Regions from separate parts of the Mus musculus genome. Here region 1 is reported to be linked to region 2. Evidence: microRNA targets listed by miRTarBase, many of them from high-throughput screens and not tested one by one. Region 2 holds a microRNA gene; the other region holds the end of a gene's coding sequence.
What was found. Region 2 holds the annotated microRNA mmu-miR-763 (CCAGCUGGGAAGAACCAGUGGC, at 7,107-7,128, shown strand). A microRNA usually pairs through its seed, bases 2 to 8, with sites in the 3' UTR of a target mRNA and lowers its output. Matches are read on the target gene's strand: a 7mer-m8 pairs with bases 2 to 8, a 7mer-A1 pairs with bases 2 to 7 and ends in A, and an 8mer does both.

Region 1: the mRNA of Slc10a1 is a reported target of mmu-miR-763. Seed matches in the 3' UTR shown: 7mer-m8 at 5,005-5,011 and 7mer-m8 at 5,075-5,081.

What each region holds. Positions count from the first base shown.
Region 1 is chr12:80,944,441-80,960,623 of GRCm38, reverse strand. Slc10a1 (solute carrier family 10 (sodium/bile acid cotransporter family), member 1) reads left to right here. Exons shown (of 4, transcript NM_011387.2): 2 at 1-185; 3 at 2,425-2,603; 4 at 4,508-5,132. The coding sequence ends at 4,715. Srsf5 (serine and arginine-rich splicing factor 5) reads right to left here and starts at 15,125. Exons shown (of 8, transcript NM_001079694.2): 1 at 14,952-15,125; 2 at 13,904-14,048; 3 at 13,243-13,313; 4 at 13,030-13,128; 5 at 12,759-12,828; 6 at 11,456-11,529; 7 at 11,020-11,130; 8 at 10,118-10,904. The coding sequence starts at 14,029. The coding sequence ends at 10,646. It overlaps Gm20337 (predicted gene, 20337), which reads left to right and starts at 15,225. Exons shown (of 3, transcript NR_045057.1): 1 at 15,225-15,887.
Region 2 is chr10:120,438,997-120,455,179 of GRCm38, reverse strand. It overlaps Mir763 (microRNA 763), which reads left to right and starts at 7,070; the gene lies at 7,070-7,189. All of the region lies in intron 3 of Hmga2 (high mobility group AT-hook 2), which reads left to right. It overlaps Gm51785 (a long non-coding RNA gene), which reads right to left and starts at 4,176. Exons shown (of 4, transcript XR_003948969.1): 1 at 1-4,176.

The DNA of each region.
Region 1 (16,183 bases), not on the chromosome of region 2:
TCACTGCCTTGGGCATGATGCCTCTCCTCTTATACATCTACAGCAAAGGAATCTACGACGGAGATCTTAAGGACAAGGTGCCCTACAAAGGCATTATGTTATCACTCGTCATGGTTCTCATTCCTTGCGCCATAGGGATCTTCCTGAAGTCCAAAAGGCCACACTATGTACCCTACGTCCTCAAGGTAAGAACTCAGGGCCCTTGATAGAACATGGCAACCGAGCTACCACCACATCGTCTACTTAGGGAAGTTTACTTTGACTAGCTGCCCTAGGGGTTAGAGTTGAATGTTGGGTCATTTGGCAAGGGCAGCTCATCACAGCATGAGCATGTGTTGGGTCGGGTACAAATATACCAAGGCAAGAGTAGAAGAAAGGATAGCACTGGACCCCTGTGCCTTTTCAGTATCGTGTCCCCAATGACCTGAGAACCTTCACATCTAAGGCTCTATATCCTGAAGCCACAGGACTTCCCTGCAGCATCACCCCGGGAACCTGCCTTTGAACCCTGTACACAAACACACACCCTTCATAGAATTAAAATAAAATTAAACTTATGTTTCTTGATGCTTAAAGTCTCTGCCATACACTTGAGGGCTGTCTTCTGAGTTTGTCATCTGAAAAAAGTAAAGTCGCACACAAGAGAAATAAGATCCCAATAGCAGACAATCAAGTCTGACAGTCTTTAAGACGACTACCGAAGACCAGAAAGGTCAGGCTTTTCTGGAGGGGCTGGTGCCAGTCACAAAGGTTGGGACTCATATAAGCCTGGAGGCCAAATAGAAAGCAACAGGGCAAACTTGGTAGATTTCAATAGCTAGAAGAGAATAAACACTCCCAGCATTTCATGGCCAGCGTGAAGGAAGAAAGATCACTGCTTGCCCTAGAAGAACGTGAGACTGTCCATAATCCTCCAAGAGCTCGGCTCTTGTCAGCCTCCTCTACATAGCAGGCTCAGGATGGCCAGCCAGGGCCACATAGTGAGACCGGGTCTCAAAAAAGTGAACATCCCACACAGGAAAAAAAAAGGAAACTTTAAAACCATGTGGGAGCATAATCACTACAAAGTAACATGAGCACTGATTTCCTTTTTTGCTATTTCTTTATTCAAAAGATGAAAAAACAAAGACTTAAATCTACACATTTTTGTCATTTTGGAACATGCTACAAAAGAGCATGAAGTACACTCTGAAAACTCACATCCTCATGTCTCACGACGAAATCGTTAAGCAGTCACTTCAGAAGATGCAACTGGAAAGTTAGTTTTATTCTAAAAACATGCCATTACCCCCCAGTAAATGCTTGTACAGCACTTACCTGGGGGAGGGGCATGATATAATGCTGACACACTTCTAGAATTTTCTCATCTAGTTTCCAGGTCACACAAGCGAGCTGACTTTTTAGGGTTACACATCATTTGGGGTCAAAAATAGGCTACCTGGTTCAACCAACAGCCTTTTGTATCTGCTTTGCTTTAAATGACTCTTGGCAATTTCCAGAAATCCAGTTTACCCTAAAACAGTGGTTCTCAACCTTCCTAATACTGCACTCTTAAATTCAGATCATGTGTTGCAGTGAACCCCAACAATAATTATTTTTATTGCTTTTAGATTTTTTTTCGAGACAGGGTTTCTCTGTGTAGCCCTGGCTGTTCTGGAACTCACTCTCTAGACCAGGCTGGCCTCGAACACTGAAATCCACCTGCCTCTGCCTCCCAAGTGCTGGGATTAAAGGCATATGCCACCACTGCCCGGCTTTTTTTGTTTTTAGTATAGCTACGTCTTAACTAATTTTGCTATGAATTGTAACTAAATATCTGGGTTTTTTTTGTTTTGTTTTTTTGGTTTTTCGAGACAGGATTTCTCTGTATAGCCCTGGCTGTCCTGGACCTCACTTTGTAGACCAGGCTGGCCTGGAACTCAGAAATCCGCCTGCCTCTGCCTCCCACGCCCGGCGAATATCCGTATTTTTTCAGTGATTTGGGGGACAGGGGTTGCTCAACCCCTTTGGTGATTGCTACTCACAAGTTGAGAACTGCTGTTCCATAACATTTCAGTCTCTCCCTGTAATGGAAGCTGAGAAAGTATGACTGGTTCTAACCAGCTCCAAAATATGTGTATGTCATCTTGTGCAAATGTATACACAGACTGAAAATGCTGTATCAGCTTCATAGGACCAGATTCATCCCTTCAAAGTTACACACTTGAGAATTTCACAGCAGTCTGGAGCTATGTCAAAAGCAGCTGGCTGTGCTTGGTTGAGGTTTTAGTCATTAACGTATTAGCCAAATATTTTTATAGCTACTAATAATAAATCCAAAAAGACCCAAGATAAAGGTTTTTTGAATTCCTATTTCCTACCGAGTCTCCCCACTCCTGTGCCCACTCCCAACCTTCTGATGGTCTCTTCTGTCCCCATGTCCAGGCAGGCATGATCATCACTTTCTCCCTCTCTGTGGCTGTCACAGTCCTGTCTGTCATCAATGTGGGCAACAGCATCATGTTCGTCATGACACCACACTTACTGGCTACCTCCTCCCTGATGCCTTTCACTGGCTTCCTGATGGGCTACATTCTCTCTGCTCTCTTCCGACTAAATCCAAGGTAGGTCTTCTAGGTCCCAATGTCCTCAGGGTGTCTCTTAAGTCTTTTTAGAAATAAGGAACCTTGAGATAAGGGCAGAGCATTTCCAAAGCATGTGTTCAAAGGCACCAACTGACCGAGGGCTTTGAGCAATGAGAAATACTTGGGGGGCTGGGGGGGGAGGACTTAGGATGGGAAGGTGGTAAAGGCAAAGTCTGCCCTCTCCCGATGTTAAATCACACCATGGAGTTTGATGTCATTGTAGTAGCTTTAACGCCAATGCTTTTTTTCCTTGCCCACTCTTATTCTAACAAGGCTTGAATCCTTAACAAGGACAATGTCAGATGGAAGCCATGCTAAGCTCAAAGCCTTTAGCTATAGTGCAAGCAAACAAATAAAGCCATCGTAAAGTAACATTCAACCTGAGGGTCTATGGAAACAGAGTCCTTTCCTCCTGTCAGCCTAAATAAATTACATAGGAGTCTAAACATTGGTACAATGGTTCTCAACCTCCCCAATGCTGTGACCCTGTAATGCACTTCATCATACTGTGGTGACCCCACCATAAAATTATTTTGTCACTACTTTGTAACTAATCTTGCTATGAATTTTAAGTAAATATGTGTTTCCCAATGGTCTTAGGCAACCCCTGAAAGGGTCATCCACCCCCCAAGAGCAGTGACCCACAAGTTGAGAGCTGCTGCATTAGTACCATCTCCCCCCTACACTTTAAGAGAAACTCATTTCCAAAATACAAAATCCACTATTACAACCTAGTTGATAACAATTAAATAACTGTGCTTGTATTACACAGGCAAAAGACTGCCCATTACCATAGTACTACAGTCTTACTAGTTCTGGGAGCTACAGATCACAATGGCCATAGCACCAAGGGCCATCACAGTAAGCCTAACATGCTAAATAGGACAAGTAACACACTTGGGAGTTAGAAAGGTGCAATGTATTCAATTAAAACATTCTGCTCTTCAATGCACTAAATGGAAAGCAAAATTAGGGGAGCAGGTTTCAAAGATACATAATGACCAGTTCTAGAATTAAAATTATGTTAAGGGCTGGAGAGATGGCTCAGTGGTTAAGAGCACTGACTACTCTTCCAGAGGTCCTGAGTTCAATTCCCAGCAACCACACGGTGGCTCACAGCCATCCATAAGGAGATCTGATGTCCTCTTCTAGGGTTTCTGAGAATAGCTACAGTGTACTTACATATAATAAATAAAAGTTTTAAAAAAATATGTTAAGCTACAAAGAAACACAGGATGAAGTCCACATTTCAATCTCCCACTGTCTGCTCAAAGTGCAACTATAAGACTAAGGGGGAAAAAAAAAAAAGACTAAGGGCTAGAGAGATGGCTCAGCAGTTAAGAGCACTGACTGCTCTTCCAGAGGTCCTGAGTTCAAATCCCAGCAACCACATGGTGGTTCACAACCATCCATGAGATCTGATGCTCTCTTCTGGGATGTCTGAGGACAGCTACATTGTACTTATATATAGTAAGCAAATACATCTTTTTTTAAAAAAATAAAGAAAAAGACAAGCTAACACTTCCAGTGTCACCTATCTGCCAGTCACTTTCAAATTTTAACTTAGCAATTCTGTAAAAGCAGACAAAATTTCCAAACTATTCAAAGGCCTCCTTAGGGTCAGATGGATGTAGAACACATGCCTAGTATATACAATGCTCATAGTCCCAAGCATACGCATGCATGCAGAGATACAAGCACATACATGTGCATACACATGCATGCACACACACAGCCTTTATAAACTTTGTGCCTTTTTTGTCACTATCTTCTTAGGGTTGGATCCCATCTTCCAATGCTGGATGCTGTAGGTCTAAAGCATCAGAAAGGGGAAGGACAGGCCCCAGAGCTGACCACTGTCTTGTTTCTTCCCACTCACACAGCTGCAGACGCACCATCAGCATGGAAACAGGATTCCAAAACGTCCAACTCTGTTCTACCATCCTCAATGTCACCTTCCCCCCTGAAGTCATTGGACCACTGTTCTTCTTTCCTCTCCTTTATATGATTTTTCAGCTTGCAGAAGGACTTCTCTTCATTATTATCTTCCGGTGCTATTTGAAAATCAAACCTCAGAAGGGTAAGTATTGAACTCATCTCCTATGAGTATTTGCTCTGGACCTGAGCTACCAACAAAAGATTCCAAGTAGGAACTGGAACCAGGTAAAACAGCATGCCAGCGACTTTGAAGAGTAAAGGTCATTTTCACCAGTAACACTACTCCAAGTTAATGCATCTGGCGTTGTTCTCATGGGCCTGACTTTGTAAGACAAGCTTCAATATTACAGAGAACGATCTTGAAACTAAAACATGTCTAGGGTTTCTTTAATTTGGAAAGCTTCAGCATTCTTTAGTGTTCAGCTTTCTGCAAGGTCAGAGCCCAGCTGGTGGCGCACGCCTTTAATCCCAGCACTTGGGAGGCAGAGGCAGGTGGATTTCTGAGTTCGAGGCCAGCTGGTCTACAGAGTGAGTTCCAGGACAGCCAGGGCTATACAGAGACCCTGTCTCAAAAAACAAAAACAAACAAATAAAAAAAAAAAAAAAGGTCAGAGCCCTAGTACCAACATAGGGAAAACTTGAAACAGGCCTAATACAACAGAATCCAAACCATGATTCCACTCTGGTCAGTTAATCTCAGATAACTGGCATGATTTATACTAATTACTAGAATAATCTTCAAATTATTTTACTTTTTTCTTTTAAAAATAATTTATTACTTTAAGTGTTCAGAGCAAATTCATTATCTGCAGAATGCTATTCTCAAAAAAGCCCAGAATCCCTCCCTCAAACTGAGACACATCTCAACCACTAAGGGCACTTGCAGGGGCTGGAGTAGTTAAGAACACCTAGTTGCTCTTCCACAGGACCCTCAAGGCAGCTCAGAAGCCAACAATTCCAGTCCTAAAGGGTAACCTCTTTTCCTCCAGAGACTTCATGCAGAACAAAGACATACATGCAGAGAAACACTCATACACCCCCACCGCCAAAAATACCAGTCCTTAAAGGGCTTTTGTCTTTATGTATACAAACCCATTTAATCAGAGAACTCCAAGGAATCGATGCTCTTTCCATGTGGACTGTTTTAACTTGAGTCATCCAGGCTTAGCAGCAAGAACCTTTACCTGCTGAGTCATCTCACCCAAAGTACTCTTTATAAACCATTTTGGTTTTTTATGGTACAGAGCATTGTTTTCTGTATGTAGCTCAGGCTAGCCTCAAACTGGAGATTCCCCAGCCAACAAGTACTCAAATTCAACATCATGTACCGTGACCAGTCATGTCTTTTTAGTACTAGAAATCAAACCCAGAACCTTGGGCATGCTAAACAAGCATTCAATCAGAGCTATATCCCCAGCATCCTTGTGTCTTTTAAATAAAAATTAATCCGTTTCCTAACCCAGTTTCTTCTACTATGTATTTCCAAAACCAAGGCTGAGGGTTTTGGGTTTTTTGGGTTTTTTTTTTTTTTGTTTTGACCCCAAGAACTTATGATCTGCACCCAAAACAGATTTCTACTGTAGTGCAAGAGCATGGAGGACCCTGACACCCACCTTCAAAGTCCCTCACCACTTCCACATGGGGCGGAGGGACACTCAGACTGAAGAAGGTAGGGGTTGGCAGTTTGAGGCCTGATCAAAGCTTCCTGCTTCTAAGTCCTTCAGAATTTAAGTCATTATTACTCACCTAAACCCACAGTGATGAAAATATCACACAAAGCATCTGTTAGTGCTACCACACCAGGGATCTCAAAAGAAAAGCAAATCTTTCTGAAAGGAGTGATAGTAGATACAAATACAGAGCACACCCCTGAGTTCTTGCATTTGAGTAAGTTTTGTCTGTCTTAGCTAACTCTCTTTTCCCAAGAAAGTCTGTACATGCTACTATTCTACTGCTGAGCTGAGCTTACAATTTCAGAGGGCTAGAGTTCATTATCATCATGAGAGGGAACATGGCAACTGGCAGGCAGGCAAGACACTGGAGCAGTAAATGACCTTACGTACCCTGATCCACAAAATCACAAATAGGCACACAAAGGTTAATTAGGAGTGACATAAAATGCAGGCTTTTGAAACCTCAAAAGCTCACCCTCAATGACACATCTCAACAAGACCATACCTAATCCTTCTCAAGCAACTCCTCCCAGTGAAAAACAAGCATTCAAATAGGGACCCACCCTCATTCAAGCCAGTTTTACTCTCATTCTCTTTTTACTTTACAGACCAAACAAAAATTACCTACAAGGCTGCTGCAACAGAAGATGCTACTCCAGCAGCTCTGGAAAAAGGTACCCACAACGGGAATAATCCTCCTACACAACCTGGCCTTTCCCCTAATGGCCTGAACTCTGGTCAGATGGCAAATTAGAATGTGAAAACTTAGAAGCAACAAGGAAAGTAACACCTAGTGTGCCAGATTGTCTAGCACTTCCAGCAAACCTTCAACAGCAGAATCATGAAGCAATGAACTGAGGCAGAAGGGCATCTATCCAGGAACCATCATCCATCCCCAAAAATCTGCTATTTGTTTAAAAGATAAAAAAGAACTAGGCAAAGTGGTTCCTCCCTATAATTCCAATGCTCAGAGACTCAAGGTCAACCTTGAGTACACAGCAAGACTGTCTCAAGAAACCAAGAACACTTTCAGCAGCTATGAACTCTTATGAAGGCTCTATGAAACAGCTACATCTGATAAACATTATCACTATTTCTAGACTTTCCAATAAGCAGGTGTTTTGCTCATTAAGCATCCACAACCTGCTTCATGTTGTAACTCAAAAGGAAATAAACTACAACTGGTAGTTCTAACTTACCAAACAATCTTAATTCTTTTTCCTTTTCCACACAAGTTGGGTTCAATTATATAAAATCAATACCAAGTAGACAAAAGCAATTAAATAGGACAAAACTGCTACCCACTACCCACAATGAAAGGTACCAGAAATACCAGAAAGCAAAAAAATTCTTAAAAAGCCATAACAAGCCAACATAATTCCACACTCTTATCAGTTTACAGTGGCATCAAGCACTCCAAAACCTTGAAGGAACTGTACAGAAAAATACTCAAACCTTCAGATTTCTTCTATGAAATCTAAACATTTTTTCACCTTTTATTCACACTAAAATAATGGCTGAAAGATGAACAAACTACCCATTGCATACATGGTTAAACATGGTAAACTACTTTTTTGTATTTTCCATCACTGACAGTGTACAACGGAAGCCACATCAGGGCACTTGTTTGGCAAACTTGCAGGACTAACAAGCACTCACAAGAATGACCAAGCATTTGGGTTCACCTTTCTTAAGATGGCAGTGGCAGACACCTTTAAAGCACACACCCTGAAAAGCAGGTGTTTTACCTCAGGTCTGAAGGCAGTCTGTGTTACACAGTACCAGTCTTTGTTTTTAAAGCTACTTCATTTTTTTTTACAAGATTTTATTTACTTAATGTATATGAGAATACTGTCATATGGTTACAGATGGTTGTGAGCCACCATGTGGTTGCTGGAAATTGAACTCAGCTCTGGAAGAGCAGTTTTCACTACCAGCCCCAGCACCAGTCTTTTTTAGGTTTCTAATGTTAGTGCAGTCTCTAACACAAGCAACTTTGGACTGGCCATCAGCTACATTAAGCTGAAAGCCAGCCTAGTTATGTCACAAAAATATTAACTTTTTTACATTTTGGGGCTCATCTGATCAATGACTTCTCTAAACATCCAGATTGCCACCATGTACAAGATGTGATAAACTAATCTAATAACCAATCAGGAAAGGCTGGCCTGGGGCTTCAAACTATCCTTAGAAATAAATGAAACAAAAAACTAGTCCTAAAACATCCTTTTGTAAGTTTTATCAAGGCTGTGGGGGGCACACTTGAAATCACAACCCTCAGGTAGCGACATCAGCAGTGGCAGGTGTAGGAGTTTAAGGTCAGCTTGGTCTATGTAATACATACCACAAGCCAGACCAGCCAGGACCAGAGGACAGTGAAACTCTTGTCTCAAAAGAATCTGTTTCTAACTTCTCAAATCTCAGGTCTTAGTACTCAACCTGACAGTTCGCTTATATACTAAAGAGGATCCCCATTAAAAGGGCAGGTTAAGATGGCTGGTAAAAAGAGAATGCCAGGTTCTGCCAATGTTATATCTAGTCTCCTCAAAAGTAAATAAGCTGAAGAGATGGCTCAGAGGTTAAGAGCACTGACAGCTCTTCTGAAGGTCCTGAGTTCAAATCCCAGCAATCACATGGTGGCTCACAACCACCCGTAGTAATGAGATCTGACCCCCCCCCTCTTTTGGTGTATCTGAAGACAGCTACAGTGTACTTACATATAATAAATAAATAAATCTTTTTAAAAAAAAAAGTGAATAAGCATACCACTACTCCTAGACTTAGCCTTTATCAGGATAAGCTACAGTTCATGATCTATTACCGAAACCTTCTACTGAGTTCTCCCTAGAACACCTCCCAAATGCTAGCTCATTCCCTAACTCCCACTTTGAGGAAGCAAATAAGCCTTTCCTACTTCTACTCACCAATGAGTACGCCTGTTCTAGTCCTGGATCCTTAATTGGTCCTTTGAAAAGCCCCCTACATTTCCTGTAATACAGTTTTGAGGAGGATTTAACTCAACCCCAGCACTCAGATATTAAGATGATCTGCTATCAAATATTCACCAAGTTCGCACCTGGCAACTAGGCTTTCAAGATGAATAACATTTCCTACACTTAGGGCACTGCCCACTCCCACAAGAGTAGGCAGCTAGAGATTGCTCAGCAATTAAGATGACTTCAGAGAACCTGGAGTTTGATTCCTAGCACCCACATGGCAGTTCATAATGGTCTCTAACTCTAGTTCTAGGGAATCCCACACCACCTTCTGGCTTTCTTGCAACTGATGCACATACATACATGCAGCCAAGATACCCATGATAGAAATTTTTTAAATTCCTCTGGTAACACACAAATTAGCCAGATGGTGGTGGCACACACCTTTATCTCAGCAACTGGAAGAAAAAGCCACCCTGTTCTACAAATTGAGTTCCAGGACTCTACACACACACACCTTTAAAAACCTAAATAAAACATATGGTCACGTATCTCAGAACTAAAACCAGCATGTAAAGATCTCTCATGCCTTCAATCATTGAGAAATTACATTTATGACCATCCCAACTGTTACATCTGACAAGAAAACTTGCACTGGATCTTATGTGTTTACCAAACCACTGCCCTTTCTGTTTAGGGTTAGTAACCTGATGGTAATTCAAGTCCAGTGGCAACAGGAAAGAATTGAAGGAATACAAGGAACTGTCACTCAACTTAGCTGTAGTTTTCAATCCATTTGCAGGCTCCTTCACTAGCTTCAAATAGCAAAATAATAAAATACTTTAAAAAGCTTACACTTCAGGGTTCTACATGTGTAGTTTTTAACTTAAAATACACAAATGTGATAGAATAAATAATACAGAACTTGAGAGAAACAGACCAAAAGCAGTTTTATAATACTTAGTATTTTATTATCAATAACAAACAGCTGCTTTACTTTAATGTCTATCTACAGCTGTTAATGGGCAAGACACCCTTGACCCTAACAAGTAAAACTCATATTAAGCCTTTATATACAAGCAAATTTAGAGCTCTTTTAAAGTGTCCAAAACTATTCGTTAGTTTAATTAAACTAATCTTGAGTTAACATATCTGAACAATGAACTAAAATATTCAAAAGTTTTTCTAGTACAAAAAATTAAATGCTTTAGTTATAAAAGAGCTCTATCAATATACACAAACTATATACTTCAGACAGTCACAAAAGTGTGAGCAGAAGGCTTATCAAAAGACATTTAATACAATTAGTTTTCAACAACCCCTTGGTGGTCCACATCTACAAAGAAATCCAGCCCAACCCCCTCCAAATCCCACCCCACAGAAAAGCACATACTTACCAGAACTTTTAGCAAGTATGGTTTGGGAATTTGTTTTGTTTTTTAAAAAAAGGCCCCCAGGGCAAGTTATTTACAGTTTAATTGCCACTGTCAACTGATCTGGACCTGGACCGGGATCGGGACCTCTGGCGATCCACAGATGCTGGAGATTTAGATCTACTCGAAGAACCACGTTTCTGGCTCTTCTCAGGCACAGGAGACCTACTACCAGAACGGGACTTGCTCCGGCTCCGGCTCCTGCTCCTTGATCGGCTGTAAGACTTGCTCCTTCGTGAACGGGATCGGCTACGGGACCTAGAGGAACTTCTGGTCCGAGATCGTGACCTGCTTCTTGACCTGCTATGAAAAATTGGCAAGAAGGAAAGAGAGAAAACACACATTAACCTGTATGACAGGGCTCTAAAAGCCAGCAAGTAAAACCTTTGGCTTAAAAATATAAACGAAAGAGTACCTGTGCCTTTTGCTGCCTTCAATTAATTTGATTTTTCTCCCGTTAATTTCCTTTCCAGAAAGTTTCTCAATAGCATTCTTTAAGTCACCATAAGAGGCAAACTCAACTACCCTAAAATGGAAGGAAAAAAAAATCCCTTTAAAGGTTATAAATCCAATAGCCTTGTAGACCACCTACACAGATCAAGATAAGCATAAGTTTATCCCTGTTGTTATTGCTGTTTTAAGTCATTTCTGATATATACAGCACAATTCTGTGGTGTGCCCCCCTATGTACTGTGGAATGTTGCAGGTGCCTATTATCAACAGTCCCTTGTGATAGTCTTTCTCCCCAAACTTAGCCAAAATCAAGCACATGCAAATTTTAGATCATAGCAATGCCACAATTAAAATTCCCAAGGTAATTAATTAAGACTCACAATCCAGGACATGCTTACCCTTCATTTAGTTTAGGTCGATGTGCATCCGCAAAGGTTACTTCCCCAGCTTGTCTCATGAAATCTTTGAGATCCTTAACACAAGACAATTATGTTAAGGAGAGAAAGGGAAAAGTGGCACACAAACAACCACATGGCATAAACAAGACTACTGGAAGAGAAGGTGTTAGATAAAGTACAAACATGGCATATACCACACTTGTATTCTATCAGAATTCAAAAATTATGCCAGGGCACGAAATAAGCAAATAGCATATTGCTTTTAAGCAAAATGCTAGAGGGCATTCCAATTTTTTAACATTATAGTATTAGTCTAACTGAGCTCAGTACAAAAGGGGGAAAAAACAAAAAACAAAACAAACAACAAAAAAAAACAAAAAGGAACAGTACATCCTTTAAAGACTAGTTTTATATTTAAAAAAAATAAAAAATAAAAAAATAAAACAACATTTACAAAGACACCAGTTATTTTGTGCCCCATATGTCATTAAAAAATTTTACTTTACCTTTATTAACATTTCCCTAGGCTAGTCAAGCAGCAAACCATTAAGCGGTCGGAGAAACCTTCATGACATAGGCCCGACTGGCTCTTCGCCACCCACTTGAAGGATACTACCCAATCGATGGAAGCCTTTAATCGCACAGCCCTCCCTATTAGCAGACTACTGGCGATGCAGACATGTTTTACTCTTGTGCAGTTACCAAGGACCACTTTACTGCGATCAGGATTCCAACGACCAACTAATTTCGTATCTTTCAACTCTTTCGACCAGGACCTCTTATTCGGAAGCGTTACAGGAAGACAGCTCTCAACTTAGGGATCAGATCACGTTATCAACGGTTCTGGGATCGCTGCAACCCGGCACTTCAAGTAAGTGCACCGATTACGTCTAGACCGGCAAACACAGATCTAGAGGTGGCCAACTGATCACTGTAGGAGCTGACTGGCAAAGTCAACCAGGCCCAACCAAGAGTGACCAAGACAACGATTAGGATAACCCACAGGCACTCCTCGTCATAAGGCCAACGACACAGATAGGCTGGCAAATAAAGGGTTTAATATTTGGTTAAAATTGATTTTAAAAAACATGAAAAAATAACCTCAAAACATTTACATTTGATCACTAATATTAAAATCTGAAACATCCCCCAGTTACATTTAACTAAAGTTTAAAATTATAGTTCAATTAAATTAATTTAAGATAAAGCATTTAATAAGATATATATTAATAAAACATTAACTACCCATTAACACTTTTAAATGCCACATTAAAAAATATCTCAAAACTGTATTTCAACAAACCTGCCAGCTGACTCTTGAGGATAAATTCTCAACTATAAGTCGATTTTCTGTTCTTACAGGTGGAGCATTTCTGAAGAAAGAAAAATAAGCATTCAGTGTCAGATGTTATGTCACAATGTCAAATGCTATGTGACAAGTTTAAGCCAAGATAGTGATTCCATCAAGTTTCTGGGTTCTCAGCATGTGGACTAACTAGACTTAACTAGTCTGAGAACCATTTAATGCTAACGGACCCTAACCCAACCGTAACAGCCAAACCCAAACCACATACCGTCTATCATTTCGAGGTCTGCGACTGCTAAAACGGTCGGAGTATCGTCCTCTACCTCTTCCACCTCGAGACCGAGCCCGGGCATGTTCAATCGTCACCCTACAAAGAGGTAAAAAAAGCATTCACACACTACACATGAGAGCACTTACATATGCAAATGTCTACTCTGCTCTACTTCCCTGGGAGAACTACTTATAAACCAATCATGCTTACCTTTCACTGCAAAGTTCCTTCCCATCAAGTTCATAAACAGCATCATCTGCATCCCTTGGGTCCTCAAATTCCTAAAATGTAGCAGTAAGAGTAGAGCTTTTGGACGTGCATGCATTCTACAGCACATTAAGATCATGGAAGCCGAGCGTGGTGGCGCACGCCTTTAATTTAATCCCAGCACTCGGGAGGCAGACAGATTCCTGAGTTCGAGGCCAGCCTGGTCTACAAAGTGAGTTCCAGGACAGCCAGAGCTATACAGAGAAGCCCTGTCTCGAAAAACCAAAAAAATAAAAAATAAATTTAAAAAAAAAATCATGGAAGTGTTAAGATATACCTTACACTCAGATACTATAACCCTAAGCTAGGGATGACTGAGAATCAACTCCAGCCAGCAGTTACTTTAACTTCTTAACAGAAGCCACTGCTTCTTGGCCACTTCTAACATCTTTCTGGGAAAACAATTCACATGGACTCAGAGTCCATGCTCATCACAAGAGCTCTACCCACTTTGTTTTTTTTTTTTTTCTTTTTTTGGAGACAGGGTTTCTCTGTGGATTGGCTTGCCCCTGCCTCCCAAGGGCCAGAGACCAAAGGCATGTGTCACCACCACAAAGTTACCTAACTTCTCGACAGATAATTCAACTCAGTTTCAAGTACTTACCACAAAACCAAAACCTCTTTTCAAGTCAATATCTCGGATCCGTCCGTAACCCTTGAAGAATCTTTCCACATCTTTCTCCCTCGCTGCTGGATTTAGTCTCCCAATGAACACTCGACAGCCACTCATGATGCCCGGCTAGTGTTTCCTGTTAGGCAGTAATTGAATCGAGACAATATCAACGATTGACACCATGGGGGTGGGGGATGTTCAGTCAAGCAGTCAAACACACCCCACGTTTACCAACTCTACTAACAAGGTCGCCATGTACCTTTTAAGTCGTTCACGACCACCACATTCAAATTCCAAGTTAAAACTTAACTCTCCAAAAGACCCCCTTCCCAGGTTCCACACGGCAGCCCACCACAACGCCAGTAGCCACCTTTCTAGACTGCGCAGCCGCACACGCTGTCCCCGGATCCCGGGGTTCCCCTCCCATCTGCCGCAGTTAAGGCCAGGCCGAGAAATGCGGGCGGAGCCGAGCCCGCCCTCTGCCAGGCCTGGTCCAATAGCAGCCGGCCGCGCCCGCGTCGCGGCCTCCCCGCGCGTCACAAGCCGGAATCTCGCGACGCCACCACCGAGCCTGCGCAGTGGGCGACGGGGCGCGTTCGCAGCACAAAATGGCGACGGCCGAAGTATGCGGCGGGGTGTGGGGGGGGGAGGAGCGTAGCGAGCCGAGCTGCGTGCCCCCGAGACACGGGCAAGCCCGGGGCCCAGAGCGCTGCGCCTGCGCCGGCCCACGGGGGGAAACCCTAAGCTGCCCTGGGCCAGGCCGGCTCCCCGGCGTCCGGGCCTCGATGAGAGCCATTAAGGGCGGCAGGGAGGGGCGCGCTGCTTCCCGACACAAACGCCCTCCCCACGCCCGCCCTTCCGCCTCGTGTCCCCCTCACGCAACACCCACAGGGAGACGTGCCCCAGCGCCCACCTCAAATCAACTGCGCTCTCTGAGTCGCCGTCCTCCGCAAAGAGCGAAGCCCCGGCCACTTGCGACCCGAGCGGCCATGAAGAAGCCTCGATCCGAGAAGCCTTGCCCTCAAAGCGTGCCACTCACCTACCGGACAGGGTCTTTGGCGGCTGAGACCCCGGAGAGGTCCGTAGTCTGCGACGGAGCTGTCTGCCTCCCTACACAAACACACACACAACACACATACACACGAACCCAACTCGTCTACAGTCTCTCCACAACTGACGCACTTAGCAGCTCGGACGTTGCACAAAATGGAAGGGACGTCCTGGCGTCACTTCCGGGGCGGTGCCAGAAGCTCGGGGACCGCCCACTTGGAGCTGAGGACAGACGGTTCCTGGGAGCCGGAAGTTCTAGTAGGGCGGGGCTTCCTTACCGCGACCCCTGGCGAGAGCAGTGGGTGGTGGGAGGACTAGAAACGTTCGTTCAGTTGGCAGGATACACCGGGACACTTCTTTGGATACGAAAAGATGTATTTAAACTTTTTCTTAGGTCCCTCGAAGATTACCAAGAAACCCAGGCTTTTCAAAAATCACCTGTTTCTTTTAAAAATTCATTTACATAGTCGGTCTCGCTAAGCAGTCCTGGCTAGCCTTGAGCTCAGCGATCCAGCCGGTCCGCCTTCAGTGTGATAGGATTATTGGCCCGAGCACCAGGTCCAATTCTTTCTTTCTTTCTTTCTTTCTTTCTTTCTTTCTTTCTTTCTTTCTTTCTTTCTTTCTTTCTTTCTTTCTTCCTTCCTTCCTTCCTTCCTTCCTTTCTTTCTTTCTTTCTTTCTTTCTTTCTTTCTTTCTCTCTTTAGCCTCTTCTGCAAATTGTACTTATCAATGTCCTTCAAGAGAGGGTTCTTAGCCGGGCGTGGTGGCACACGCCTTTAATCCTAGCACTTGGGAGGCAGAGGCAGGAGGATTTCTGAGTTCAAGGCCAGCCTGGTCTACAGAGTGAGTTCCAGGACAGCCTGGTCTACACAGAGAAATCCTGCCTCGGAAAAAAGAGAGAGAGAGAGGGTTCTCTGAGGCTCAAGTAAGTGAATTCTTTCAGTGTTGTGGTTTTTGTTCTGATCAGCCTAAGGAACTGAATTGTTTTCTACTAAAGGAGAGATTTCACGTGGTGAAATAATGAAATTGGTACTGTGGGTAAAAAAAAAAAAAACAAAAAACGCTCCTATATATTGAATCCCTAGGGCCAATCTTGGCTCAGCTAGCTGGGAAAGATTTCAAGTTGTTTCTAAATCCAACTGGCCATTGTCCATTCCTTTCTGTCCAGGTCTCAATCTCAATAGTTAGGTGGACGGTGGTAGCTTCAGCCTTTAATCATCT
Region 2 (16,183 bases):
TGTGTGTATATGTGTATATATGTATATATGTGTGTATGTGTGTATATATATGTGTGTGTGTGTGTATATGTGTACATGTATGCATATTTGTATGCATATACGTATGTGTATATGTGTGTGTGTATATATATGTGTGTGTGTGTGTGTGTGTGTATGCATGTGTGTTTGTATGTGTGCGTGTATGTGTGTATACATTTATGAACCTAATTTTCTTCTTCTGGATGTAGAAGTTATGCCAAGTTCTTCCTTCCAGCCCCATGCTCCGAGAAATAAGACTCAGATTCAAGATATACTTATAAATACTTTGGGCATATAGTTAGGCTCTGCTCTGACTAATCAGAACTAAAATAAGCCATTCATTTTAATCTACATTTTGCCACATGGCTGGTTACCTGTGCTCAGGTACCATGAGTCCATCTCACATCTTTCCCAGGCAGATCTCTTAAATATTTACAACAGTATCTGGGACATGCCATTGTTGATACCTGTGCAGTAGCCTCCTTCCCAAGGGATGCTCAGGATGGTGTGACTTGTGTCATTGTGATTAAAAGCCGTGGGTATGCATCAAATTAGTTTTCCCTTTTCACATAACATCCCAGGCATTTTTAAGTCTCGTTTTTTCCAATCTGCTGATACATATTTGAAGTGAAAATTTTATCTGGCTGGCTTCTGACCTAATGAGTTTCTAGCTTTATGGTTTGGATGTTAATTTTTAAAGAGTCACTTATTTATGTACATGAGCACTCTATTTGCCTGTAAGCCTTCATGACAGAAGACAGCATCAGACAGCATCAGCTCCCATTACAGATGGTTGTGAGCCACCATGTGGGTGCTGGGAATTGAATTCAGGACCTTTGGAAGAGCAGTTGGTGTTCTTAGTTAACCACTGAGCCATCTCTCCAGTCCAACCTGTTCATATCATACCTGGGGATGACAGTTGTTCCTTCTGTGTCCTCCTAAATTACAACTCTTGGAACACATATAATCCTAAAGAGATGCTAGTAAGTCTCAACCATAAAAACACTATTGTACAACAAAAGAATGGACTTGGTTGCGTCACCCATGTAAGCTTCAAAACTTTGCTCAAAATCTTCACCCTCACCCTTGTTTCCCATCGAAGGTATTTGTTTCATGTGCATGGATCTTTTTGCCTGTACACATGCATGGTAGACTTCCCCTTGTGAGCCTTGTGAGCCCTGCAGAGGCCAGAGAGGGTGTCAGATCCCGTGGAGCTGGAGTCGTGAGCCACCGTGTGGGTGCAAAGAAACCAAACCCAGGTCTTCTGCAAGAACAGCCACTGTCCCTAGCTTTTTAGCCACCTCTACAGCCTCCCCACCCCCAAGTTAGGCAGCATTAACTCATACTTCATTTCCATCTGCATTTGTTATTAGAAGGTTAAAGTTCTGGCACTGGAGGTGCCACTTGTGCGTTAGAAAGGGCCAAGTGATGTTAGTGGGAATGAGAGAGATGAGTGGTGAACGTGGGAAGGAAGACTTGGAGAACTTCACCTCCTGAGGTAGTAGCTGTCACATTCTTCTAGAACATGTAGGCATATCTGACCGAGGAGGAAACGGCTTGGCCCATTAAAGGTTGTTTGGAGTGAAAGTGACCAGACAGTTGTAGGGACTCCAGACAAAAAGGTATAGCCACGTCTATAGAGGCATATTCTTTAAGTGGGAAGGTTGGGAAGGAAGAAGGTTGGTAAGCTGAGGAGACCTGCGATAAAACTGAATCCTTCAGCTGAATCCACCCAGACTAAAACTGGGGATAAAAGAGAGTGTGCTAAACACCGTAACGCTTAAAGAATATTTGTAAGCGCTCTTGCTTCTATATTTGAAAGCCACTAATTGTACAGCCAGGGCTCACACAACAAGTGTCCTTCCTCTACATATATATTTTTTGAGGGGGTTGGTTACTCAACTTAGGCTTGTTTCGCATTAACTTCGGCCCTGATCATATATACATTTGGGTATTCTAAATAGAATTTGGTTCAGTGCTCCTGCAGTCTCTTTGCATGCTCTTACATCCTGGGAGAACCAGCTGTCAGGGGGCAGCTGTCTTTAAGAGAGTCCTGGGGGCTGCCTCCCTGAGGCCTTTTCTTTCATGATTGTCCGTGACCTTAGTCATTGAATCATTGAATTGTTTCTGGCCTCCCAAGCCAGTGATTGGGAACAGGCAGGGTGGTAGGGTGATGTTATGTCTGGGGCCTGAGCCTGTATCCTCACCACACACGGGGCCCACCCTTCCTGGTCTGGACAGCTCAATGCACAGTGCTTGGCACCTAGTGAACACTCAATAAATTGACTTGTTTTTCTGTCTCTCTTGGGATCTGAAGTAGAAACCCTCAAATGTGAGCACAACCCCCCCCCCTCCCCCCCCAGCCCTAGGTCCCCCAACTGGAATTCCCATGAGAAAGCTGAGGCAAATGTGTGTGGATACAGTCCCAGGTAGCCAACCCAGGAAAGGTCATTGCTCTGGCTTTATAATTGGGCTAAAGGATCTTAAAAAGATTTTTGTCGGGACGAATGAGTTTTAACTTAATGCAGCATCTCTAAGATCTGCATAATATCATGGCATTTGAGAACACATTTTATTAAAAAAAATAGCTGATTTGGTATCATTTCTGAGACATCCTGTGTTTTGCCTATATTGTTTGTGTTTTATTCACTCCTACACACACATACACAAATACACACACATACACAAATACAGACACAAGCACATACATACACACATATACACATACACACACAAACACACACACATATACATCATACACACATACCCCCAAGTAGAAAAGCCTTCTACATTCCTCCAGGTTCCTAGATATGGAAAGCATTGAGTTGGAAGAGAATCTTTTGATAGTCTTGCCTGTGGATATTTGTTCAAGTGGCTTTCTTGCCTTTATTTCTTCTTCCCCCTGTTCCTCCAAAATTCAGCCAGACAATCCTTGTCTTCCTGGAGACTCTCACATGTAGTTGTAAGAAATGCCGTGTATATTTTTGTCCAGCTCCCTCACCCTGGTGCCTTTTTCTCTCTCCTATTTTTCTCTGCAGCTCTGGGGATCAGCCCAAAGCCTCTACTACTGAACGATGATGCTCTGGCCTGTATAAACTGTAGTGACACTCTCTCAACTAGGATGTTGCTGTTAACCAAACCTCCTAGCTATCATACTCTGGGTTCCCAGCTCTGCATGTAATTATTTGTGTGTGTCTGTGTAAAGATGATGCTGTGAACTACTTTTATCCCACGTATAGGTTCAGAAATATATCACCAGAAGCGCCGTCTTTTAAAATAGTTACTTGAGAATTTTCAACTTCGCCAGTTTCCACAGACATGGAGATACGTCATGTCTTTTAAATATCCTAGAACGTGGCCTGGCTGTCAAGCGTTGGCAGAGGGGCCCGTGTTTCCTACCTGTGGCTGTATGGGTGATTTTTGAGATTTCCTTCTTATGAATAGCTGGCTAGCCCAAGCAGAATCATAGGTGGGCTTGGCACACAGCTTCTGACTTGCCTGGAGTAAGCTCTACTTTACTGCATTAAGAGTCGTGCCAATTTGAGAGGCCAAGGAGGGAAACTGGCACAGAAGTGCAGCACACACCTGCTTTTCCTGAGGCCACACGCACCGCGCCTCGTTGAGTACCTGTTTGTCTTTTGGGTTACGTTCAAGTCTGTCTTCAAAGTCGTGCACTTAGAAGCTGGGGATGTAGCTCCGTGGTTAATCATGGGCATAGAAGGTGCAGAGCTTTGGGGTTTGATTGCCAACCCTCAAATCTAGATAGATAGATAGATAGATAGATAGATAGATAGATAGATAGATAGATAGATAGATAGATGTGTCCACATAAAGAGATATTTGGTGGGCAAACTACCCTCTTAATTGTACCGTGATCATCTAACCCAGTCTCTAGCGTGGACTGCAGGCAAACCTCATCACCTTGACATTGTTAGGAGCACCTGCAGTAGGCAACACTATCACTGCCGTGGGTCTCCCTACATGCATCTTTTTATGTGCACACGTGCATACACACACACACACACACACACACACACACACACACACACACACACGCATGTGCGCAGAACACATATGTTATACATGCATGCATGTTCGCACACACTCGTACACCTGAAGCAAAGCCTTAGCCTGACGTTACCACTTTAGAATGGAAAGACCCTCTGTATTCTACTGGTCATGTCTGGGGTTTCAGTAGTTAGATGACAGCGATTATACCTGAATATAATGAACCATCTCCATAAGTAATTACTATGCAGGCCCTTTAGAGAATATGTAGATACATAGAGAATAATATACCCAGTGCCCTATTGGAGCCTGAATCCCTACTCCATGGTATTCTACAAGAGTGATTTTATTTTTCCTCTTTGGGCTAATACTATTCCTACTGGCACTTTAAAAGAAAACATTTCTTTTTTTTTGTTGTTGTTTTTGTTTTTGTTTTTTCCGAGCCAGGGTTTTTCTGTGTAGCCCTGGCTGTCCTGGAACTCACTCTGTACACCAGGCTGGCCAGTACTCAGAAATCCACCTGCCTCTGCCTCCCAAGTGCTGGGATTACAGGTGTGCGCTACCCCGCCCAGCTTAAGAAAATATTTCTTTTTTTTTTTTTAAAGATTTATTTTATTAATATATGTAAGTACACTGTAGCTGTCTTCAGACACACCAGAAGAGGGAGTCAGATCTTGTTGCGGATGGTTGTGAGCCACCATGTGGTTGCTGGGATTTGAACTTTGGACCTTCGGAAGAGCAGTCGGGTGCTCTTACCCACTGAGCCATCTCACCAGCCCCAAGAAAATATTTCTTAATGACAAATAATGTTCAAATATATATATGCATATACATTTATTTAACTAATTATATATATTTATTATATATTAGTAACGGAAACAAACAAGCAAGCAAACCTAGCATTTCAAACATCCATAAACCAGTACCAGAGCAGCGTGCTGTTATTTCATGGCAGGCTTCTTCCGTTCTTACCGGGTTCACATGAATGTGTGCAGCCTGCCGGTGCGGACCTGGCTGGTGGCAGATGAAGACGCAGCTGTGTTCCTGTGTCCTGTCACTGAGGCCCCCGCCCCCACCCCGCGGTGCCAAAACTGGAAACTGTGAAAGCATTAAAATGCTGCTCTGATTCGTGTTCCGCTTCCCCAGATAGGAGCCTGGATTTGGTCCGTAGCTTATGGAGTCCCAGCTTCTCATGTTCTGCAGATGACAGTGTCAAAGCAGAGAGCAATTAAGTGTCCAGCTCCTGGTCGCAAGCGTCAGTCATTATCCCGACGGGAGCCAGGTTTCCTGACTGCCAGTCCGTTGCTTTTCCCCTTAACTAATGAATGGCTTCAACTTGTTGGCCTGACTTTCTGACTTTTCCTCCATTACCATTTGTAATGTTGGCCCTGGTTCCCCCTCTCCCACCCCAATCCCCAAGTCCTGTATTACGTTTTCTGAGGGTTGATGTAACAAAGTACTGCATGCCTGGGTGCCTTTGCACAATAGAAACTCTCTCTCTCTCTCTCCCTCTCTCTCTCTCTCACATTTCTGGGAAGTAGAAATTGGGTTTTTACAGGGTCATGCTGCTCTCCAGAAGCCAGTAATGCATGATCTCTCTCTCTCTCTCTCTCTCTCTGCGTGCCTCTTTCTGTCCCCCTGCCCCGTCCTGTGTGTGTGTCTGTGTGTCTGTGTCTGTCTGTCTCTTTCTCCTGTTTCTGACAAGATCTTCACCCAGGTTAGCCTTGAATTTGCAGTGATCTTACTGAGCCTCCCAAATGCTGGCATTACAGGTGTGGGGCCGTATACTCGACAAGCTTCTATGTGAGAATCAATTTCCTGATCATTCATAATTATTAATGTTCCTTAGTTTTTGGGCACCCCACTCTGTTAAGGTGTGGCCATGCTCTGTATACTTTGTTGCCAAGGGAGGTCTTGCAGGCTTGTATTCTAAACGCCCCTCCCCCCTTAGGATCCCTAGTAACCCTATCTTGACTATGAATTCAAAGACCCTGTTCCCAAGTAAGGCTTCACTCCTGTAGATGCAACATGAGTTAGAACTTCAAGAAATCTTCTTAGGGATGCAATGTCACCTGTGCCAGGCCTCCTCAGCTTCAAGCTCACTTAGAATAAGGCAGGTATTTGTAACCCACCAGGAGAACGTACAAGGGGTTTCATTAAATCTAAAGCATTGTGGCCAACATTTGCAGTTTGTTATAAGAACACGTTGGAAAGATTTATAGGCTGTTTGGGGTGTGAGTTTTAGATTACCTCCTTCCTTTGAACTGGTGGTTGGGCCCAGTGTTTTAAAAGTGGGGAATGAATAGATTTGAAAGCGTCTAATTTTTGTCTTTAATGAAGCTTGTAAGCTTGGGAATTTCTAAAAAGCTATCTAAATTCGGTAGTGCGGAACACTAAGAGTGTGTCTGTGATTTCCAAATTTCAGGGCACTTGTTTGCATATGCTAAGCCTCTATTTAAGACAAAAAGTAGAACTTCAGGTCAGTGAGGTTCTGGTTTGCTTCTCTAGGCAGAAAGTCTAGGGTGAAATGTTTGCATGAATATTTAATGGTGAATGCCTATGAATTTTCCCAAACATATCCCCCAATTCTCAAAGGTACTCATTCCCTTAAACTTCACCGGTTGTATACAATTCTCTCCTTATTATAACCATTCTCTTTAATATGACATTATTGGATTAGGAAGAAGTGTATATAGAACCTTAATTTGTATCTTTTAAAAATATTTTAAGACTATGTAATAGGAGTAAACTGCCTTGTCTTTTTTTTTTTTTTAAACTGATTTTTATATAGGCGATTTTATTCTGCCTTTAAATTAATGTGGTTTAGCTTCAACCCTACCCCTCCCATAAGGCTAGTCCCCATTCCCTATAATCTTACAGACCTGGGAGAACAATATTTTCCCTTCTGTCATTTTGATAATTACGTGTGTGCTGTGCTCAGTGGTGGCCTATTAACTCCCATGAAGTCCGTGGGCTTGCAAAGTAGCCTCAGATTTCCGTACCCTGGAACTGTGAGAAATTTCTGTAATGGTGCTTTAGCAATAATGATGGAGGTGCAGGCGTTTCCTGGGGATTAATGACCAGCTGGGAAGAACCAGTGGCCCTCGGCTCTGCCTCCCAGCCAGCCATTAACTCCAAGGAAATGTCTTTTGCTGAGGTCGTTACTGCTATTATAAGCTTAAAATGGAAAAACATAACAGACATATGAGTTATTTTTATGGTTTGATGTCCTTTCCAATAGTATGCACCAGTTCAAGAGACTGAGTGTGTAGGTTGGGTCATTTGACTCATCCCCCAGTAATCTATATGTTTTATGACTGTTCTTACCCATTCTTTCCCATAAAGAAAAAGAAAGAAAGAAAGAAAGAAAGAAAGAGAAAGAGAGAGAGAGAGAGGGGGGGGGAGAGGGAGGAAAGGGAAAAAGGGAAAGGAAAGGAAAGGAAAGGAAAGGAAAGGAAAGGAAAGGAAAGGAAAGGAAGGAAGCCGTTTAGCTTGGTAATCCTATCTTGGTCTGAGGTTTGAAAGTATAAAGTGTTTAACTTGCTTCTCTTATCCTTTGCAAATTACACTTAGGTTTTACATACGATCTGAAGGACTGAGACGTGTGTGTGTGTGTGTGTGTGTGTGTGTGTGTGTGTGGTGATTATTTTTCTTCCAGAATAAAATCCTCCAAAAATAAAAAGGGGGGGGACCAACTCCCACCCCCATAGGGACCTTCCTGGGTTTCTTCGATCTCTCTGTGATATTTAACAGGCATCCTTATGTTTTTGCCTTTATGTCTTGAATCCACGAGAGAGTAACATACAGCCTAAAAACTCAGCATTCTAAGGGTTTAAAAAAGTCTATTAACTATTGCAGTAAGGGGGATCCTTTAATGCAAAGCCACCTGAAAGCCAGGCCAGAGTCAGAATGTTGTCTCCGTGCTCCCCTGTGGTTATCCCTGTGCTCATCTGTAGTTGTTACAGTGCTCCTCTGTGGTTGTCTCCGTGCTCCTCTGTGGTTTTCTCCGTGCTCCCCTGTGGTTGTCTCTGTCCTCCCCTGTGGTTGTCTCCATGATCCATTGTGGTTGTTTCCGTGCTCCTCTGTGGTTGTCTCTGTGCTCCCCTGTGGTTGTCTCTGTCCTCCCCTGTGGTTATCTCCTTGCTCCTCTGTGGTTGTCTCCATGATCCATTGTGGTTGTTTCCGTGCTCCTCTGTGGTTGTCTCTGTGCTCCCCTGTGGTTGTCCCTGTGCTCCTCTGTGGTTGTCTCCGTGCTCCCCTGTGGTTGTCTCCGTGCTCCCCTGTGGTTGTCCCTGTGCTCCTCTATGGTTGTCTCTGTACTCCTCTATGATTGTCCCCATGCTCCTTGAATAGAGGGTTTGGGTGTGTATGTGTGTGTTTAATATCTAGGTATTAAATAGTAGCTTCTGTGTTCAAATTCATTGAATGGAGAAGAAAAAGAAAAGCACACAATGGTCTACTCAAATCTCACAAAATGGCTTCTTAAAACCATGCAATTAAAAGTTTTTTAAAAAAACAAAAAACAAAAAACAAAAAATCAAATGTATTTCTGCAGTGTTATGTCATCAATTACCCCAAAGAGTAGCTGCTCTCGCTAATCTCTTGGCTCCTGACACGTAGACACATAAATATCTATGACAAGAGGACCACTGTTTGCAAGTGAGATTGCAAAATAGGAAGCAGCAGATGTTGGAAAGGAAATCTTTCAAGACAGAGTGACCAGGCTCTCTCGCTTAGGCTTTGTTCAAGGTCACGGGCATAAGATGCCGCTCTAGAAGATGGAGCATGGTCATGTGGGTGGGGGAGGGCACTTCTGCGGACCGGGAAGGAGATGGTATCACTTCAACAGATCATTAGGCAGTAACTGAGTAGAGGAAGCCGACAGTTACAGGAAAAAAAAATATTTGCTGATCACGGAGGACAAAACTGAGCTCCTGTTTGGCAAATCAGACTTCTTTATATTTTGTTCATCGATCCATGAATGTAGTTCACTATGAAAGTACATTTCTTTCCTTTTCAAAACACTATTTTCAGTGTCCTCTGTCTACGATCATCCATGAATGTATCCATTTGCATGATTTAAGTACCTTGTGTATCTGTGGCAATTTTTTTTTAAAGATTTATTTATTATTTTATGTAAATACACTGTAGCTGTCTTCACACACTCCAGAAGAGGGAGTCAGATCTCGTTATGGATGGTTGTGAGCCACCATGTGGTTGCTGGGATTTGAACTCTGGACCTTCGGAAGAGCAGTCGGGTGCTCTTACCCACTGAGCCATCTCACCAGCCCATCTGTGGCAATTTTTAATGTTTTTGTTTTATTTTATGTGTATGGGTATTTTGTCTGAGTACCTTGTGTGTGTCTGCCAGAAGAGGGTAGGTTGTCAAAGTCTCCAGAATTGGAGTTATATATATGGTTGTGAGTCAACCTGTGGGTGCTGGGAATTGAACCTGGGTCCTCTGAACAAAGAGCAAATGCTCTTAACTCTTGAGCCATCTTTCTATCCCGGAAAACAAAATCTTAAAGAGTGAATTCAGTAAAGACATATGTGACTCTTTTCTGAATAAACTATACTTGATATGCTACCATGCCAACCTATTTTGTGAAGAGAATCAGTTTATACACAAGCATTTTCCTAATTCCACCATGCGACTTCAAGTACATTGGGACTAGATATTTATCTGTTCTCAGAATCTTGCAGCAAACATGGAGACTATGCTATATAAGGAAAAAGTAAGCATTTCTGAAATTACGTTAAGATACTATTTTAAAATAACCAGTATGGTGCACGTATGGAGGAAGTTAGCTGTTAGAAGTCACTTGTATTCTAGGACGTTAAAAAAAAAATAAGGAAAATGTTTGCTAGGAAATAAGATACAGATATTATACCTACTAGGTAAAAAAAAAATTCTGTAGAAAAATAATGAACATGAAGGGTTATGTGGAGAAGCAACGCTTACACACCCAACTAGATATATATGTGGAGTTTAGGGGAGAGGGCCGAGCTGAAGACTTAAAACAGGGGCCACGGGTGAAAGAGTCAAACTGTGGCTGTGGGTCAAGATCCCAAGAGAATGGTGAAGACAAGAGCAACCATAGACCATGGAGAGGAAAGAGATGGTGAATGTAGAGGACATAAACAATCTTGCCAGCTGTCCCTGATGACCAATCGTCTCCAGCCACGCCCCTGTTTACGCCTCTCTCCAGCCATGCCCAGCTCCTGACAACAGCCTGGCTCTTACTTTCATTAGTGTAGAGACTAGCCTCCCTATTGCGGTCGACGAGTAGGCACTCTGGCGGAGCAGGCAAATGAATCTAGAGAGAGTCCTGTGGGGGCCAGATCATTAAGTCACACTGAGTGACATCCCATTTGCCATCTGGAAAAGATAAAAGTTTTGTTGTGCAATTATCTTTATGGGACAAAGTGTTTCTGTTGGTTTACTAAAGCCGTTAAGCCAAAACAGGGCACCAGTGTAAGGCCTGGTCTCCCAAGTCGCCTGTACCATCCTCCTGTAGGATAAAATGAACATCTGGGAAGAGGGCTAACATGTGTCTCTGGTGAGTTTAAGATAACTGCTTTGGCTTCAAGGATCATTAGATTTCACAGATCTAATGTCTATGTATGTAATGTATGTATGTATGCATATATATTATATATATCACTGAAACTTCCTTTGCATGGGTCAGATGTTGAGAAAAGTCGGTTGTAATTTGGGATTCATGCAGAGGAAATGCCCTGGAAGCTTTCACGTGACTAGGTAAAGGCTATGTACCTTACTAGTCTCCCTGGCCCCTCTTATCCAGACTACTAGAGTTGGAGCCCCTACAGTGCGGGGAGAGCTTTTAAACCTTTTGTAAGCTGTAGCATCCCAGGGTGAATTGACTTGCCGCAGAAATTAATCTTGGGGCTGATTCTAGCTAAGCAGTTGTAGCGATCTAGCAGAAATGGCTCAGTCCTGCAAAACGGATGGCCAAATAAAACCTTCAGGTCTCTGGACGGGTAGCAGGCAGTGCAGATGCACCAGGGGAAGGACTGGTTTCCCACAGCATGGCTGTGCCATTTCAGAGCACTTGGAGAACACTGTACGGATGCAGTTAAACATTTATGACCGCATGCAGGTCCAGGCAGCGTGAGGGATTTTGTGCAAGTAGTGGCTGATGAGCACCCCAAATAGGAGTTCTTCAGATCTAAGGTATCCATGGTAACCAAGTAGGTTCCCTTTCCATTGTGCTTATTACTTTCCAACCTGCTAACCAGGCGTAGGCGCTGTGGGCTCCAGGACACCTAATTCCTGTAACACTCTAGAGAGTAAGTAAGTGCTTTTGGGGGGGGGGGTGAAGCAGACTTAAGTAAGGGGTTTTGAGAGATTTGCAGAATGCCACGTAGCAGCCAAGACAGTAATTTGGGGTCCAACTGTCAATTTATTTGAGTAGTGTTATGCAGGTAAAAATCACACAGGGAAAAAAAGAATTATGATTATTAAGAAAACAATGGTGGGTTTTTGTTTGTTGGTTTTGTTTTTGCTGGCTCTCTGAGGTCTTCTATTACCAACGTGGTTGTTCAGCTGTTTTATGAATAGCACAAGCTCACTGTTTTCATTTGGTGAACAGCACCAGCTTCGCTATTCAAGATCTTGCTCCCAACACAGGGAAATATTTAATACAGTAGGAAAAATGGTTTGAATTCAAGTAGCGTTAATGTTGCAGTGTGACTATAACCCTCTTTTTCCAAGAACATATTACAAATGAATTTTTGTGCTTCCATTTAGCCTACGTGCAATATAACCATTTGGGTTAAATCGCAGCCATAATAAATCGCATCATGAAGCATTTCATCTATATTTCTTAATGTTGTTCACAAGTGACTAGAAATATCTTGGTACCTTTTATGTACGGTAGCTCATTTACATATTTTTGACATTGTGAGAATGAACTTTTATACTATATGTGTAAAGTACTGTAATAATTAAGCGTATATATACCCTAAAGAAATTTACCCAAGGATATGCTATAAATATTGTCAGGGTTGAAGAAAAGGAGACCGGATCCATTATATCTGTTCTCTCTGGGACATTTGTATACCTATTTGAGGTTTGAAAATGAAGTAATTATTATCTTTCTCCACTTCTTCCCCCTCACGTGCTTCACCACAAACTTTAGGCAGCATTCACAATCCCCATTAATGTGAGCAGCCATATTTCCTGTAAGTAGTGATAATCTGTAAAATGGATGACATGAGCCTGAGGTGTAAACATATGTACATCCACACTGGTTGGCGTCACATGCCCTCAACCGGTTGAACCCACGTTGTATCTGGGGAGAGTAGAGAAGGAAGAGGAAGAGGGTGGGAGGAAAGGAATGAGATCTGGTGGGTTCTTTGGTTTCTAAATTGTGTAGAACAAAAACAGAACAGTTTGGATAGGAAGAGTCCTCCGCTGACCTAGCCCACTGGTTTACATCATGCCAGCTAAGCACTGGGTGACAGGTTCAAGGGCCCGCCCTTTTTGTTGACTGACATTTCTCAAGGTAGCCAATGACATGGACCTGTCCTGTTTCTGTAATGAACAAAGATAGGTCAAACCCACTGTAGCTCTGAGCGGTTCCTTTCTTCACGGTTCGCTCAGGCAAGAACACCTTTGCTCCTGGATAGACACACGGACAGCCTTGTCAGGAAAGGGAACTTTTAGGAACTTAATCTGTGAGGGAGAGAGCCGGGACATACTTGGAGTGGCATCTGAGCAGATGTCCTCAGCATTGGCCACCAAGACTTCGCTTAGTAAGTATGTATAGTGTTAGAGCCACAAAAGTAACAACTGTGCAAAGAAGGACGTGAGGGACCAAGAAGCTGGAAAGCCCGTCCCCCTGATGCTGAGAAACTAGTTGGATCATGCACACACACACACAAAAAACACTGCTGCCAAGTTCAAACAATAGAAAAGTGGAGGACCTAAGTCTTGTGGGGACACAGAGTCGAGGTGAGAGCCATTAGTTGGCCAGGAAGGATGGCTGGAGAAGTTTGGGTGGGATTCTGAAAAAAATTAAAAGATGGGAATCAATATATTTAACCTTTCACCTGTAAGGCAAAGAGCCCCTGGAGAGCTAGCATGCAGTCTCCCTGTCTCACATGTCCCTGCAATTCCCTTTGTGCCTGTTAGACTGTCCGTAGCAGAACTCAGCAAATGCTCGAACGACTAGCTTTAGGTACCATGTTGCTGAAAAGACAAAACTTTGCTTCCCAATCTGCCGCTGACCATGACACCCAAGGAGAGCAGATGTCAGGAACACTGTGTTAGTCTCTCTCTCTCTCTCTCTCTCTCTCTCTCTCTCTCTCTCTCTCTCTCTCTCTGCCCTGTGTGGGGTTGCTCACAAAGGAATCTTTGCATCTGAGAAGGGACAGACAGTCACCTCCTGTGGCTGACCCCCACAAAGAGAGGGGGAGAAATCTACTAAACCGCTCCTGGAAATGCAATTGCAGAATCCTTTGAGCCCCAAGCCTCCTTTTTCACTGGGAGGACAGATAAGTGCCCGGTCTTGCGGTGTCGTGTTTCTGACTCCTTTGTTTTGCCTTCAGATTTAAAAAAAAAAAAAATGCCAATTTCATTTGTCCTTCAAGTCGGGAGCATGTCAAAGAGTCCCTCTGAGTGGTAGGTGGCTTTCCGGAGCACACGGGAAAGAAAGCCGAGTCTCATTCTGGCAGCTGTCCAGTGAGGATGGAGAGGGGTCAAGTTACTTCCAGTGTCTGAACACGAAAAGGCAAAGAGAGCGCTGAGGTGATACACTACATACACCCTCTGGGCCCAAAGTCCCATTTACCTCAGAGATGGAGAAAAGGCGAGATGTGAGTTTATTTTTTCTAGATACTATACAGGCCATCGCTCTCTTCTCCATGGTTCTTGTCCAGTTTTGGGACATCGCAAAAGATGGCTAAAGAACCAAGGATGAGCTGTCAGAATAACCTAGACCATATCTATTTCTATCTATCAAACACTGAAGTCTCCACTAGATCCGAAGAGAATGCTCACGTCAGTGCTAGTGAGTTGCCAGTTCAGTGACTGCCTTTACTGGTTCATAATTCGGCTTTGTTCTCATTGTTGAGTTAAAAAGAAATCACCATTTTATCTAGGCTAACCTTGAACTTGTAACCACCCAGACTTTGGCCTCCAGAGCTGAGTAGCCACCATGCACGGCTGTTATGAACCGTGGCATTTTGCGGTGGAAACTAAATTAAGAGTTGTGCCAGTGTCACAGATTCCCTGGTACTGCAAGTTGACACAGTGCATGCATATCCATGGCTCATGGAATATCATTATTTTTTTTTGTACTGTGTGCTTTAAGAGATTGGCATTCCTAAACTGCTGCACTTCCTTGGTCACCGAGGCGAAACCTATTTATGAAACATTCAACTTATGGAGCACTTGGTGAGACTGTAGCTAGGGGTAGTTTTCTAAGGATTCAACTCGTTTGGCTCAATACCACGTAGGCTGAGGTTGATTGTGTTGTTGCTGTTGTTCTTGTTTTCTGGAATGCAGCCTGGGCCGCATTAGTTTGGACGTACATCATTCAAGATAGGAGAGTACCATCCCCATCACTGTCACCTTCACAGGTCAAAACTGGAAAGGGAAGATGGTAGGCCATAGACTAACTCAGAAGGATGAGAGTCATGACCAAGACACGGAAGAACTCTTACGACTGTATTTCAGGGACCTTATTCAAGAGTCAAGTACACATTGAAAGCCACACACTGAAAGCTAGCTGGATGGAATCTCAGTCTGGTCAGATGTCATGGCTCAAGTTCGCTCTTGCTGTTTGCTGAAGAAGAGGGTATTGGGCGTTGGATCAATCAATCCTCAGATGTCGTAGGAGAGCTCCTTCAGCTACCTGGCTTTTTCCCATGGGGAAGATCCAGAGTTTGCTGATTCTACATTATAAAATCACGGTTGGGAGATACAGTTTCCATTTCATTCAGGCGTGTGCTGTTTTGAGTGTTGTTCCACGAGGCTGGCAAAAATAAATGGGTCCTATTTAAAATTCCCAATCTGTAGGCACTAAGAACCTACCAAATAGAAAGGAGTGTCATAGTCCAGAATGCTCCTTTAAGACCTTTTATTCAGAGTCTTAGGAAAGAAGAAACAGAATGTCAGAATTTATAAGTAACTTGTACAGAAACACAAGCTAGACAGTAATCAAATTGACTCCTGGCTCTGGGTGTATAACCCCTATGTGCCATGATTTTTTTTCTGCACCATACAGCCAACTCAACTTGAAAAATTCAGGGAATCTTGTGTTTTAGCCCTTTTCACATTTAGCATTATTATTAAAACCATTGATTTTGTTTTACAAAATAAATGGCACAGTTCTTAATATCTACCTTATATTTAATAAGCATTTATTAAGCATATAATATGTACATGCAGATCGTTATAAGTTTTGTGCGAGTAAATCAAACATGGCTTGTAGCAGAAAGATTTATAGTTTAAGGATAGGCAAGATGAAGCTTCTATTTATTTTGAACTCCAGCTGTATTTCAAGCACCATGGTGGGCTTTATTAACATTGTCTCATCTCATTGTGTAAGCCTTGTGAGAGTCACACAAGGCAGTTATTTAGTTTATGTGTCAAGATGTGAGCCATAAGCTGCCATCTACCAGACTCTTATCCCAGCCATGTAATGCAAGCGGGGCTTTCTCGGAGGAGGTGTGTAGTGCTTCAGTTGAGCATTGAGGGATGAAAGGGATTTTAATGGGGTAGCTTTGGAGGGATTTCACAGAGAAGGCATGCGTCTCACGTAAGGGTAGCACGGGATCAATGGCGGTAGAGAGAAGTGTAGGATGTGTACCATCAAGTTTCCCCAAGCGTAGTTTGGATAGCGTAAATTAGGGCCATAGCATGGGGGTGAGCATGGAAAGGGAGCTTCCATAGTAGGTCAGGAGGGCCAGCACCGCCAAGGAGAAATGATTAAAGACTCTAAGCAAGGGAATGACCAAACCGATATGAATTTGGCTTAGAAAAACTGTAAACCTGTAGCCTGAATTATCAGCCACGGTCTAGAGACCCAGACATAGACTATTTGCTGTACCAGTTCTGTGCTTTAGAAATCAGTTTTAAAACCATGTGTTTCTAGGCTCCGTGGTGCACAGGCTCAGTGCCTGCAGCTCC